2 linked regions of the Caenorhabditis elegans genome follow. The protein of the gene in region 2 interacts with the protein of the main gene of each other region in a pairwise test. Each region holds a gene or a part of one and is shown on either strand. Other genes may lie near its edges.

Region 1 (7,311 bases), on a different chromosome or scaffold from region 2:
TTTTTCAAATTTTTCACTAAAAAAAATTAGCAAAACCTACCATTTTCCAAAAGTTTTTCGAAAACTTTTGCCGATTCCTGTCTGGCAAAGGAATCTCGACCGGGAATCACAAAATGTGTGCCAGTTTTCTGGAAAAAATTGAATTAGAGTTGGAAATTTGAATTTCCCGCTAATGCAAATGCGCTCCAATGCAAAAAAAAGTCCAAAATTAGGGCAAAAATTCAAATTTCGCGCCATAAAAGCGTGATGCAAGTGTGCCCCAATGCTAAATCTTCAAAATTTTCAAATTCCCGCTTTGCCGAACCTTCAAATCGTCCACAATTCGATCCATCAACGCATTTGGCGCAAAAGTCCGCAAAGTGTCGTCAGATGTGGTGCATTGACGCGAAAATGCAGAAATTCGCAAATTTCGACGAAAAATCGGCAACAATCGGCGCATTTTCTGGCAATTTTTTGCATTTTTTTCAGTGATTTTTCTGGAAATTTAGACAATTTTTGAAATGGAATTTTTAGCCCCCGGAAAACATTTTGTAAACAATTATGACAGAAAATTTATTGATTTACTGAAAAAAGGAAAACGGGAAAAATTGATGAGGATCCATGTGGTGAGAAAATTATGCTGGTGGGAAAGGGAAAAAACTCGTTTTTCTGGAAAAAATCTAAATTATGCGATAAAAATCAATAAATAAATCGGTGGGAAAAATAAAATAAAAATTTTCGAACAAAAAAAAATAGAGTTCGGGGTCATCAGGGGAAAGAGCACACACAACACATGTTTTGAGCCGGGGAGCAGCTCGCGGAGCATTAAATTTTCACAGAAAAAATTGGAGATGTTTGACATTAAAAGAGGCAAAAATTGATGGAAAACGGGGCCGTGGCCTAGGATTTTCGAAAAGTTAGGCCACCACTGGAAGCATGGTGGCCTAGACCTCCAAATTTTCCAAAAACTCGGCCACGGTCGTTTTTCACCAATTTTTCATAAAAAATTCCAAAAATTAAGAGTAAAATTGGGAATAAAATACAATAAAATATGAATTTAGGTAATTTTTTCAGGAATTATTTCATCCGCATCTCGTATTCTCCATTTTGAGTAATGTAGCGGACCCACGGCAATGCTTGATATCCACTTTTCTCGATGATTTTCAGATAACGGACCTGAAAATTTGAAAATTAGGGTTTACTTGGTGGAATTTATGGGAAAAATTGAATTTTCAAGCCTTTTTTTTAGAAGATTTTATCACCCTTAAACACCAAAAAATCACATAATTCTCAATTTTGAGCCGTTTTCTCCGTGGAGCGCACTTGCAATATGTGGTAGGCGGGAAATTTGAATTTTTGAGTTAAAAAGTCAAATGTTAGGTTTTTTCGAGAAATTTGCATCATCTTGACGCAAAAAAATCACAAAAATCTGCATTTTGAGCAGTTTTATCCGTGGAGCGCGCTTGCAACATGCGGTCGGCGGGAAATTCAAATAATCTAGTTGAAAAGTCGGATTTTTAAATAATATCATGTGTTTAAATGAAATTTTCAGCATTTTAGAGCGAAAAAATTACATAAATCTCAAAATTGGGCAGTTTTTGGCGGTGGGAAATTTGAATTTTTGAGCTAAAAAGTCGAATTTTAAGCGAAAAATTCGGCTACCTGAATGCCGCTGGTCGTAAAATACGGAATTTCAAATTTGACTTTAATCGGCGGCCGTCCTTCAGACTCTTCACTCATCACAGACGGTAGAGATAGATGGGCGGTCAAAAGGTACTCTTTTCCGCCGGGAAAATTCTTAATAGTCCATACGAAGGCCGATTGCTCGGGCGTATACTTCACCGAACCGATGCTTGTCTTGAATTTCGGTGAATCAGCGTCCGACGGGACTGGAATAATGATTTCCACGTTATTAGCAGTGGAGCGCCGTTTGAATTGTGATTTCGCTTTGATTATAAACGAGACACGGCTGTGACTGTGACGTTCGATGCTTGTCTCGATCCAGATCAGCGGCTTCACCACGGTTGTTAATCTGAAAAAAAACGGTATTTTTCGAGAATTTTCAGGAAAAATTGGAGCTTTTTGAGGTAAAAATCGAGTTTTTCGACACAAAATTGAGGCATGGCCTGACTTTTTACCTGAAAACCTAGGCCACGCATGTAAATTTGCTTTTTTTTTATTTTTCAGTGTTTTCAAGCTAAATTTGGCCTAGTGATCAACTTTTTAGACTCAAAATTAAGGTGTGGCCTAATTTTCTACCCGAAAACCTAGGCCGCAGGTGTATTTGACTTATTTTTTAAGAAAAACCAACAATTTTGATCCAGACACACAGTTTTCAGCAAAAAATAGAGTTCGGCAACGAACTGATCAGTGGTGGCCTAACTTTTGCGAGAAACTAGGCCACGAGTGGAAATTTGCATGTTACGTGTTCCATTTGTTACAGTTTTAACGTGTTTTTACAGAAAAATCGAGCTATTGTAGTAAAGAAGCCGAGTTTTTAGCCAAAAAATAGAGTTCGGCCATGAATTGGCCAGTGGTGGCCTAACTTTCTTGTAAAATCTAGGCCACGTATGCAAATTTGTATTTTTCTAGAATTTTTCATGTTACTGAGCTCTTCTTCGTCTGAATAACGAGTTTTTTGACCTAAAAGAACCCAAAAACAGGAATCGGCCTTTGGTGGCCTAGTTTTTTCCGGAAAACCCTAGGCCACGTAAGCAAATTTGTATTTTCTACACCTTATAATTGTTTTTCGAGCGTTTTTGGCATAAAAAAGCAGAAATTAACTCGAAATTACAACTCGGCCACGAACTAGGCTATGGTGGCCTAACTTCCAAAAAACCTAGGCCACGTGGGTAAATTGGCATTTCCTAGGATTTTCTGGCATTTTCAGCTTTCAAATCGAGTATTTAAGCCAAAAAATAGACAAAATCAAACTTCGGCCACAGATTAGAAGTCGGTGGCCTAACTTTTCGAAAAAACTAGGCCACATCACTGAATTTCCGTCAAAATCATGCGAAAAACTCGATTTTTCGGTTAAAAATCCGATTTTCTCCACTTTTTTCGTACCGATAGCTCATAAGCTCAAATGCTCCGTCGGGCGGTATGAAGGAGATCGTTCGATCCGTGTCAAAACGCGACAGGCGTACACATTGATGAAATTTCACGTCTTCCAGTTCCACAGATTTGCTTTTTCCGCCTGAAAATCGAGAATTATCAATGGGGCGCGATTGTAGCGGTAGGAAGTTTGAATTTCAAGTTGCAAACGCGCTCCATTGCAAAAATTTAAAAAAAGTCGCATTGGAGCGCAATTGAAAAACGCTAAAAACTTTAAAATTGTTGAATTTTAACAAAATTTTATCGATTTTAGGGTAAAATTGCCTGAAAAATCTCAATTTTCGCATAAAATTCGAAAAAACTCACGTCCACTGCCCTCAAAAAGTACTTTATCGTTAAGACCCAGCCGAAGTTCAGGCATTCCGGTAAGATAGACACGCATTTTAACGCTTCCAACAATTTCCGATTGAAGTACGGTACCGTTGGCGCTGGCCAACATGTTCACACTTTCGATTACGTCCAGGAAAACCTCGTTTTTTCGGTATTTTATGCCTTCAGAGCGCCATGAGACGGCATTTGTCACTGCCATCGGGGGACGGGGTGCCGAAATTAGTTTTTGACCTTCTTGTGTGATGTATCTGCAAAAAATTGGGGGGTTTTTTGATTGAAAATTGAGGAAAAATCGATGATAATTTTGCACAAAAATTCAAATTTTCGAGTCGAAAAACACATTTTGAACAGGAAAATTGCGCTCCAATGTGAACTTTTGCGATTTTTGCATTGAAGCGCGTTTGCTGCATGTTGAATGCGAGAAAATTGAAATTTTCAATGAAAATTCAAATTTCCCAGCTGCAACCGCGCTACAGTGCAAATAATCGCAGTGGAGCGCGTTTGCAAATAGAAATTCAAATTTTCGAGACAAAAGACACATTTTGAACAGGAAAATTTGAATTTTTGAATTCCCCGCCACTGCAAATGCGCTCCAATGTAAATTTTTTGCGATTTTTGCATTAGAGCGCATTTGTGATTGGAAATTCAAAATTTTAGGGTCGAAAATACATATTTTGACCCAAAATTTAAAATTACTGCTATCGCGCGCTGCAAATGCGCTCCAACGCTAATATTTGGCTATTTTCGCATTGGAGCGCATTTGCAGCAGAAAATGAAACGATTTTTCGTGCGGGAAATTCGAATTTTTGAGTAATTTTTTTCAATTTTTCTCGTTTTTCCTCCTTACTCTTGTAGAATTCGACTCTCAGTCGTCTGTGGGAACCCGAAATCCATCATTTCGTCCAAAAGTTCATAGATAACGACAAAATTGTCGCGAACCGACTCCTCTTCGACATCTTTGAAATATTCGGAGAAAACTTCGACGCATTTGTACAAAAATGACAAAATCATTGTGACGTTGACGTTTGAACGGCATGCTGAGACCACTGAAATGAGGGAAATTTGAATTTTTGACTGGAAATTCTGGAGAAAATGACTGAAAATCCGTTAAAAATGGGTGTTTTATCATTGGAGCGCGCTTGCACCCGCTGTCGGCGGGAAAATTTCCGGAAATTTACAATTCTGGCTCAAAAATCGTGAAAATATGTCGAAAAAGTGTGAAAAATGACGAATTTTTCGCAATTTATCGACTTTCTGGCAGAAAAGCTTGATTTTTGAAACAATTTTGCTCCTTTTTTAAGATTTTTACCACATTTCAAATAAACTACAAAATGGAAAAATTACGAAAATCGCAGTTTTATTGATTTTAGTCAATTTTTACGAATATTCGGCTTTTTTTGAATTTTAGCACTCGGGAATTCAGAAAATCAAGGAATTTTTGAATTTTTCTGACTTTAAAATCAAAAAATTGAATTTTTTTGGGTTTTCCGTTATTTTCAAGGGATTTTGTTACTTTTCACTGTTTTTCAACTCATTTTTTAGTTTTAAAACGTTATTTTCAATTTGAAAATGTTAAAAACCACAAAAAATTGCACTTTTTATCGGTTTTTGGCTTGAAAATTCAAATTTCTGACCAATTGCGTCATTTTCAACGGATTTTCTTCAATTTTGCCATTTTTCTATCTAATTTTTGATTTTAAATTCAATTTTTCACACAAAAAACCCACAATAAATATTTGTGTGCTTGATAAACACGAAATTCGTGTCCTGATAGGTCAAAACGGGCGCTGCCGAGCCTTCTTCCTCTTTTTCCATGAGTAAATGAATGAATTTATCGATTGCCGTCATGTCGATGTCTCCGCGATAATTTCGAGAAATTATCGTCTGAAAAATGCGAAAATTGGCATTTTCCGACGTGAAAAACACTAAAAAACTCACTTTTCCCTTCAAATCCAGTATAAACATGGCGGAAGTCGCCATTTTCGACGATTTTTTGCGATTTTCTCGTTAAAATCGTCAAATTCCACGTGGCAGCTACTGGAAAATACTGAAAATCCGGAGAAAATTAGCGGAAAACGGAGGAAAATCGAAGAAAATGAGTGCAAAGATGGATATCGGCTGCTGGCGGGCACGCCCTCTTGCAGTCTGCAGTCTCTTCACTTTATATACTCTCTCGGCGAGTGACGGAGCGGCAGCAGCGGTGCAGGAGGCCTTGGAGACGGATTAATTGGATGGAAAAGGTGGAGAATTTGGTTTATAGCGGTTTTTTCGCGAAAAAATGGAGAAAAATACCGAATTTTGCAAAAAATCGACTTTTTCGTCGGAAAAGTGCAAAAAATTAAGTGAAAATCGACGAAAATCGGTTAAAATTCTATTTTAAAAATTCAAAACTGAAACCAAGGGAGCAAAATTTAGGTGTGCGCCTTTAAAACTACCGTACCTTATTTTATTGGACAATAATGACAAAAACTGGCAATTTCCGCCAGAAAATTGAATTGAATAATTTGAAAATTGAATTGAAATAAAAAAAATTTGTGTAAAAATACTGGAAAATCAGTTTAAATTCATTTTTCTAGTAGAAAATTCCACAAAACCACCAATCGCTACGAGACTCAGAAGAAATATTTAGGCATGCGCCTTTAAATCTACCGTATCCCATTTTTAATAAAATTGTGACGAAATTTGAATTTCAGGAGGAAAACTTGGTTAGAAACGAAAAAACGACGAAAAACCATAAAATTAGCAAACAATTATTTTTTAAATGTAAAATTCCACAAAAAGCAATAACTTTGGTAACCTCGATAAGTTTCGGTGCATGCGCCTTTAAATCTACCGTAACTCATTATTTTTTTCCAGCGGGAAAATTAAAATTTTTAATTTTTGTTTAAAAAAAACCAAAAAACTCTAAAATTTTTAAATTTTATGAAAATTTCGTTTTCAAACAAGAACCCATCAAAGTTTATTTACAAAAATGAAAGTTTATTTCAATGAATCATTGCGTATATGAGAATGTTGAATCCAATCTACCATGGATAGCATTCTCCCGGGCAGGATTGAAGGATGGTCTCGAAGCGAGAAGTCTCGACGGACATGAGGACGGTGTAGGTGGTGAGCTTATTCAGGTTGGTGCGGGATGACAAGACGTTGAAGATTCCCTCGAATCCGACGTTCTTCTGGGTCAACTTGTCCATGCAACGGAATCCCGGAGTGTCACGGTCGTCAAGGTAGAGGTCCTGGAAGAGGGAAATGTTGGATAAGTTAATTCCGGATAGGTTTTGACAGATTTTTGATCAAAATTTCTAGCTAGGAGTTCGACCCACTCAAAAAAAGAAGCTGGGTTCAAAATACTAGACCTAGGCCTAGAGAAGGACCTCTCCTAAAAGTTGGGCCCCTAGATCCGTCTACCAGAACCTACTCTACACCTTCAACTCTAGCATCTCTCACCTCGGTTCCCTGATCGTAGTTGGTCTCCAACAGGTACCATCCGTGTGGGGATGTGGCCATCTCGGTGAGAAGTGCGGTCTTGTCGAGACTTCTAGCGATGATGCATCCCTCGTCCTTCTTGGATCCTCCGAGAATGAAGTAGACTGGTGAGAGCATTGGAGTGTTCATCAAGTGCTCCTTGGCGTCGAGGTAGGCTGAAAGCTCGGGATATAGAGCCTTTATGGATCTCAGACGGATCTAGCCCAATGGATATTAGAAGCAAAGATTAGGGACACTTGAATCTAAGCCTAAGCTTCCTGGAAATCAAAGCTTCCGAATTCTAAGGATCTAAGTCATCAAGAAAACAATTCAACTCACTGGTCTTAGTCTCGAGGGTCTCTCTTGCCAACCAGGACATCCATTTTCCGTCGGCCTCCAATCCGAACACCCACTTGAGAATACCGT
Region 2 (4,849 bases):
GAACTATCAGGAAATGATTTAAACCCTTTTCCTACGGTTGGCGTTTTACTTACAAATACCAAATACACATTGCCATTTCCAGACACTTTTTTGATAAAGACGACCATCTTAAGAGTTGAAAGACCTGTTTTTGGTTTCATAGATGATTTTAATTAATTATTTAAAAACACTTTTGGCTTAAAACATTATTTTTTCAAGAGAGACGGAGAAAGATAAATTTCCATGGCAACATTGTCAGCGCACGAAGATTATACAACCAAGCATAGAGATTGACGAAAGATTTGTTTCCTCTATTTTTATTCACAGTTGAACAAAAATTGTGCATGTTGCTGTAGAAATGGACAGATTATGGAACTATTAGATGAAACGCAGACTGTAGAAAAATAAAAATGGCCCGAAAATAAAAATCAGTAAATATGTTTAACTGTATCTGAAACAAAAAATAAATGATATGTTGAAAAATTTGCCATTAATGTTTTATTAAACCAATTTCAGCCGTATTCTATTATGGCACGAAAAACTAATTTCCCGAGTGTTCACAGGATTGCAAGGAAAAGTTCGATGCCGACCAACAAAACATTAATTTTCGTTATAACTCAAATTCGGTAGGATATTCGAAGATTTGAACATTATTTTTCAAACATATCCATTATATCCAATTCTCGAATTTTTTGGGTATGGCATCACAAAGTCATAGTCCGTTTCTGCGTTTTTCACTGTTTGGAATTGTAACTTTAAAAATGTATCATTTTGTGTCTGATTATTTTTTGCAACTCTTAAAAATTCTTACTTACTAGTTTTGCAATGTAATAATGTGTTATACAAATTACAAATGATATCTAAATAATTATATAATTTTAAATGTATAGAAAACTTTTACTTGTCTCAACATGACAATTTTGTTAGTCAAGCTTCAGTTTCCAGTCAAATAAAACATATCACACTAACAGAAACATTTTGGATAAGTTTTTGATTTAAAATTAAATTTTTATCTTTAATTTGTCATTGTCGTTTTCTCGGGAAATATAGTGTTTATCAAAATTAGAATGTGCGTTTAACTAAAATGTAGGATTTCATCATATTTGTAATTGAGCATTTAATAAGATGTTTTCTTGTGTCTTGAAATAAATTCAGATGTATGAAAAAAACTGTATTCGTTCAGATGACTTAACGTCCTTTCAGAGCAAATATTTTCGGGTACTGGCAGACTGTAAACATTAAAAACATCGACATTCTTTTTCTCTTTGTCACTTTAGCAAATATCATCTGCTATAATTTCCACTGCAAGTGCAATGCTTGTTACCTCCCAACTGGAACACTGACAGGTTAAAAAACTATAAAACGCTTGCTTCAAACAGCATGGAATTCAGTTGGAATATAGACCCATTTCTCTCCCATAATTTTAGTTTAATTTTGAACTTATGTTTCCTTTTCTGACATTAAAATATGTTCTCATGTTCTAAGCGTGTCTAAATGGAAGTCCCCCAATAAGTCACAAAAAATTATTATGCTATCATGTAATGTGTCCGGCAAAGAATCATTTATAAATTTCTCTGCGTTTATCAAAATTAAACGTGCTCCAAAAAGTGTGCTGCGTGTCACATACTATCATACCGGTCGTTTCGAAATTGTTCTCTACCCTCACTTTCCCCTTGTCGTCGTGGTTTATCATCTTACATCAAATGGCAGTTATCATCGGCGCCGTGTTTGCCGTTTGTAGCAGAGTTAAGAGCCCGACTGCTTTTTGAAACCAATCTTCGCGTTTTACTTTTTTTCGCAACAATAATAATAATAATAATGATCTAACAACCTTTTCAAATTTAATTCTCAGCTATTTTAGGTTACCTATTGTTCGTGGATTGGAAAAAAGAACCGAAGAAAAAATGATGGAGACTAGGAATGCCAGTGATAGTAAGTATGACATTAACACATTTCCCAATTCCAGTTTTAAAAAGGTTTGATGGACCAAGTCTTTTCTGCTGTCACGCTTCCTGCTGTTGGACAAACAACTACCATCATGGAGCATCATCAAGAATCTCACACTGTTTTTCACCAAGTAAGAAAATTTTTGAACAGTTATTTTGTTGATATTAGTTATTTTATTGAATTTCAGGAGAGTCATCATGTTGAATCTCACCACGAGCATATGGAATTCTCCTCTTCTGGGGTAAGCAAATTTTTATTTACATTGTAAAGATTACTTTAACTTCAATTATAATCTGATTTTTTTTACTTCTGATTTGATAACTTATCAATTTTTTGCTCATCAAAACTGAAAATCAGTTGGTGCTCTTTGATTTCCGTGTTCGAAAAAGAATGACAGTATCGATTGATTTAAGAACAATTTTGTTGGAAAATGAACAAAAAATATTTTTTCAGGTTATCGTAGGAAACGTTGTTGGTCATGATGCCGTTATTCAACGTCGTCCAACTGTGGATACTGAAGATCAGCGGTCGGAGGTATATATTAAAATTAATCTTTCATTATTTTGAAAAAGAGCATTTATTTAGGTGTCCGCAATGTCAAAAGCCACATCAGTTTCTGTTCATTCTAGCGTTTCTCAAAAATCCGCTCAGGTATTTCAGTTCGAACAATGAAAACTATAAACGCCTTTTTCAGCACTACGATCTTCCACCTATCCCACAGTACGACATGCCTCCGATTGTTGTTGGGGAAGCTGTTGTTGGAAAGGCACCATCAGTTGCTTCTTCCAGATCAGGGTATATCTTAAGCTCACTCTACTGAAGAAATAATAAATAATTTTCACACACCTACAGGTCCCACCATTCCGTCGCTTCGCATCATTCGCATCACTCCCAACATTCCCATCATTCCGCTTTGACTCATGACAGCGAGTCGACTATTTCCGAGGGAACTCTTGTGAATGAGCCGATCGTCAGTTTTACAAAGATTAAAAAACAATTTATTCATGATTTTTCAGGTGGTCGGAGCACATGTTGCATCTGAAGCTCCAACCCCACTTGCTGTCGGACAATCATTCGAGCATGACGCAGTGATTGAGCAATTTAAAAATCTTCATGGAAGAGTAAATAAACATTTTCAAACTTAAAACACCTATAATTTCTTTTTCAGGATCAATCAGTGGTTTCCAGCATTGTTCCTGCCTCAGTTCACATTCAAAGTGACAGCGAGGACTCTATTGCTCCATCAAAGTTGACTCACTCGATTGCTGTTGTACGTTTTTAAATGACATATCAGTTAAACTGTGAATTGCTTTCAGGGAGGAGTTGTCGATTCTCACAATGGTGTCAATGTTTTGCACAGAAGTCACGAAGTTGAATTTGTGGACTTTGCTGCTCCAGCTTACTACCAACCACCATCAGTTGTCGTAAGTGTCAAGAGTTTGTGTTTTTTATTAATACAGCTTTGTTCAGGGCGCTTTTGATGCTCATAGCGAGGATTCGTTTGGTTTTGAGAAGGTGGAATATGTGGACACTCATGAGGACCATCACCACAAGTTGGAGGAACAAGTTCCGCAAGTTGTTCATGAACATGTTATTGAACAGCATTACGAGCCTTATCAAATCGTCCATGAGAACCATAATGTGTTATCGGTCGATTTCGGAGAGGATCAACACTCCATAACCCATCATGATCATGACCACCACCACCACCACCATGAATCCCATGTTACCCATACCTTCACCTCCAATGTGAAACAGTCCCGTTCTAACACTGCCTCCACTTACCAAAGTCGCCAAATGTTAGCACATAATGTTGGGCCTAAAATTACTGAGGAGTTGCGTCCGGCTGCGGTGCTGGAGGAGGAAGAGGTTGAGGTTAGGCCCCCAGTGATGGCCTACGTGGCTCCAATCCCAGTTAAGCCACCACGTACCCACGAAGAGAGTCATATCTATAACGCGTACGAAACGGAGATTCATCAGCAAAAGGATATCGTCAAGTCTACTACTGTTGTTCTGGAAGATGTCCGCTCAGGATCTGAAGGTATTCATATCCGAGCGGATAATTCTTCATCTGTTGATATTATAGGTGTTAGCTCCCTTCGCAGAAAGTTTGAGCATGGTGCTCCACCACCATTGTCGCCTGTCTTTGAAATGAAGAAGCATGAGCACCACAAGCATCTTGATCAACACCATCACCACAAACACCAAGACGTCGTCGTTGAGCAAACGCAATTCCAGGTCGGCGATAACTTCATCTCTTCTTCTTCTTCTAAAGCAATAGAGAATCATTATGACGTTCCTTTCGATTCTTATGAGATAGTTGATAAATCTGAAAACACTAAAAAATCCTCATCCTCTTACCACGCCTCCTCCTCCTACCACAAGCAAGCACCACCGCTGCCACTAGTCGATTACCATGTATATGACACGCCAACTGTTGAACATTTCTCCCATTCGCCAGCTTTCTATACTGACGATCAGCGCCACCATTATGTTCCCCAAATCAAGGTGATAACAGAGTATCGACACATCAACCCTCGTCATCATTACGTGGAAAGACAAATTAGAAAAGCTGATGGAAGTGCGATTGCACAAAGTCCGCAAGTTCAAACGATTGACTATTTTAAAGAAATCAACAGGGCTCACCATTTTGTCCCATCTACGCCACCATCGCTGTTTAACAACAAGCGAGAAAGTTTCCACCATCACAGCTTTATTCCAAACAGTTTGGAAGCTGAAAGAAAGAGTCGTAGTGTTGAAAGAGCGCACCATTATCTCCCAGATTCACCAGCGAATGTGAAAGATCAGAGAAAAATAATCAGGGAACATCATTATGTTCCTCTTGAGAAACGCTCTCAATCGTTGGATTTAAAAGTAGTTCATCCTGAACATCACTATGTTCCACTTGTCAGAAAAACAACGG

The links.
Region 1: the proteins of hpo-34 (region 2) and unc-101 interact in a two-hybrid assay, tested with the Caenorhabditis elegans proteins (3 studies listed by BioGRID).

The regions. Positions count from the first base shown.
Region 1 is NC_003279.8:12,506,647-12,513,957, reverse strand, and holds unc-101 (AP-1 complex subunit mu-1-I), read right to left. Parts: upstream 5,660-7,311; 5' UTR 5,404-5,659; coding exon 5,362-5,403; intron 5,308-5,361; coding exon 5,151-5,307; intron 4,470-5,150; coding exon 4,271-4,469; intron 3,672-4,270; coding exon 3,400-3,671; intron 3,176-3,399; coding exon 3,046-3,175; intron 2,012-3,045; coding exon 1,642-2,011; intron 1,156-1,641; coding exon 1,057-1,155; 3' UTR 538-1,056; downstream 1-537. Other genes in the region: mter-4 (Mitochondrial transcription termination factor family protein), read right to left, coding at 41-128, 305-439; asah-1 (Acid ceramidase subunit beta), read right to left, coding at 6,447-6,656, 6,868-7,061, 7,225-7,311. UniProt on the Caenorhabditis elegans protein: Component of the adaptor complexes which link clathrin to receptors in coated vesicles. Clathrin-associated protein complexes are believed to interact with the cytoplasmic tails of membrane proteins, leading to their selection and concentration.
Region 2 is NC_003284.9:11,516,052-11,520,900, reverse strand, and holds the start of hpo-34 (ZM domain-containing protein), read left to right. Parts: upstream 1-1,834; 5' UTR 1,835-1,883; coding exon 1,884-1,911; intron 1,912-1,955; coding exon 1,956-2,056; intron 2,057-2,113; coding exon 2,114-2,167; intron 2,168-2,379; coding exon 2,380-2,460; intron 2,461-2,511; coding exon 2,512-2,577; intron 2,578-2,620; coding exon 2,621-2,721; intron 2,722-2,778; coding exon 2,779-2,896; intron 2,897-2,942; coding exon 2,943-3,047; intron 3,048-3,094; coding exon 3,095-3,196; intron 3,197-3,242; coding exon 3,243-3,350; intron 3,351-3,396; coding exon 3,397-4,849.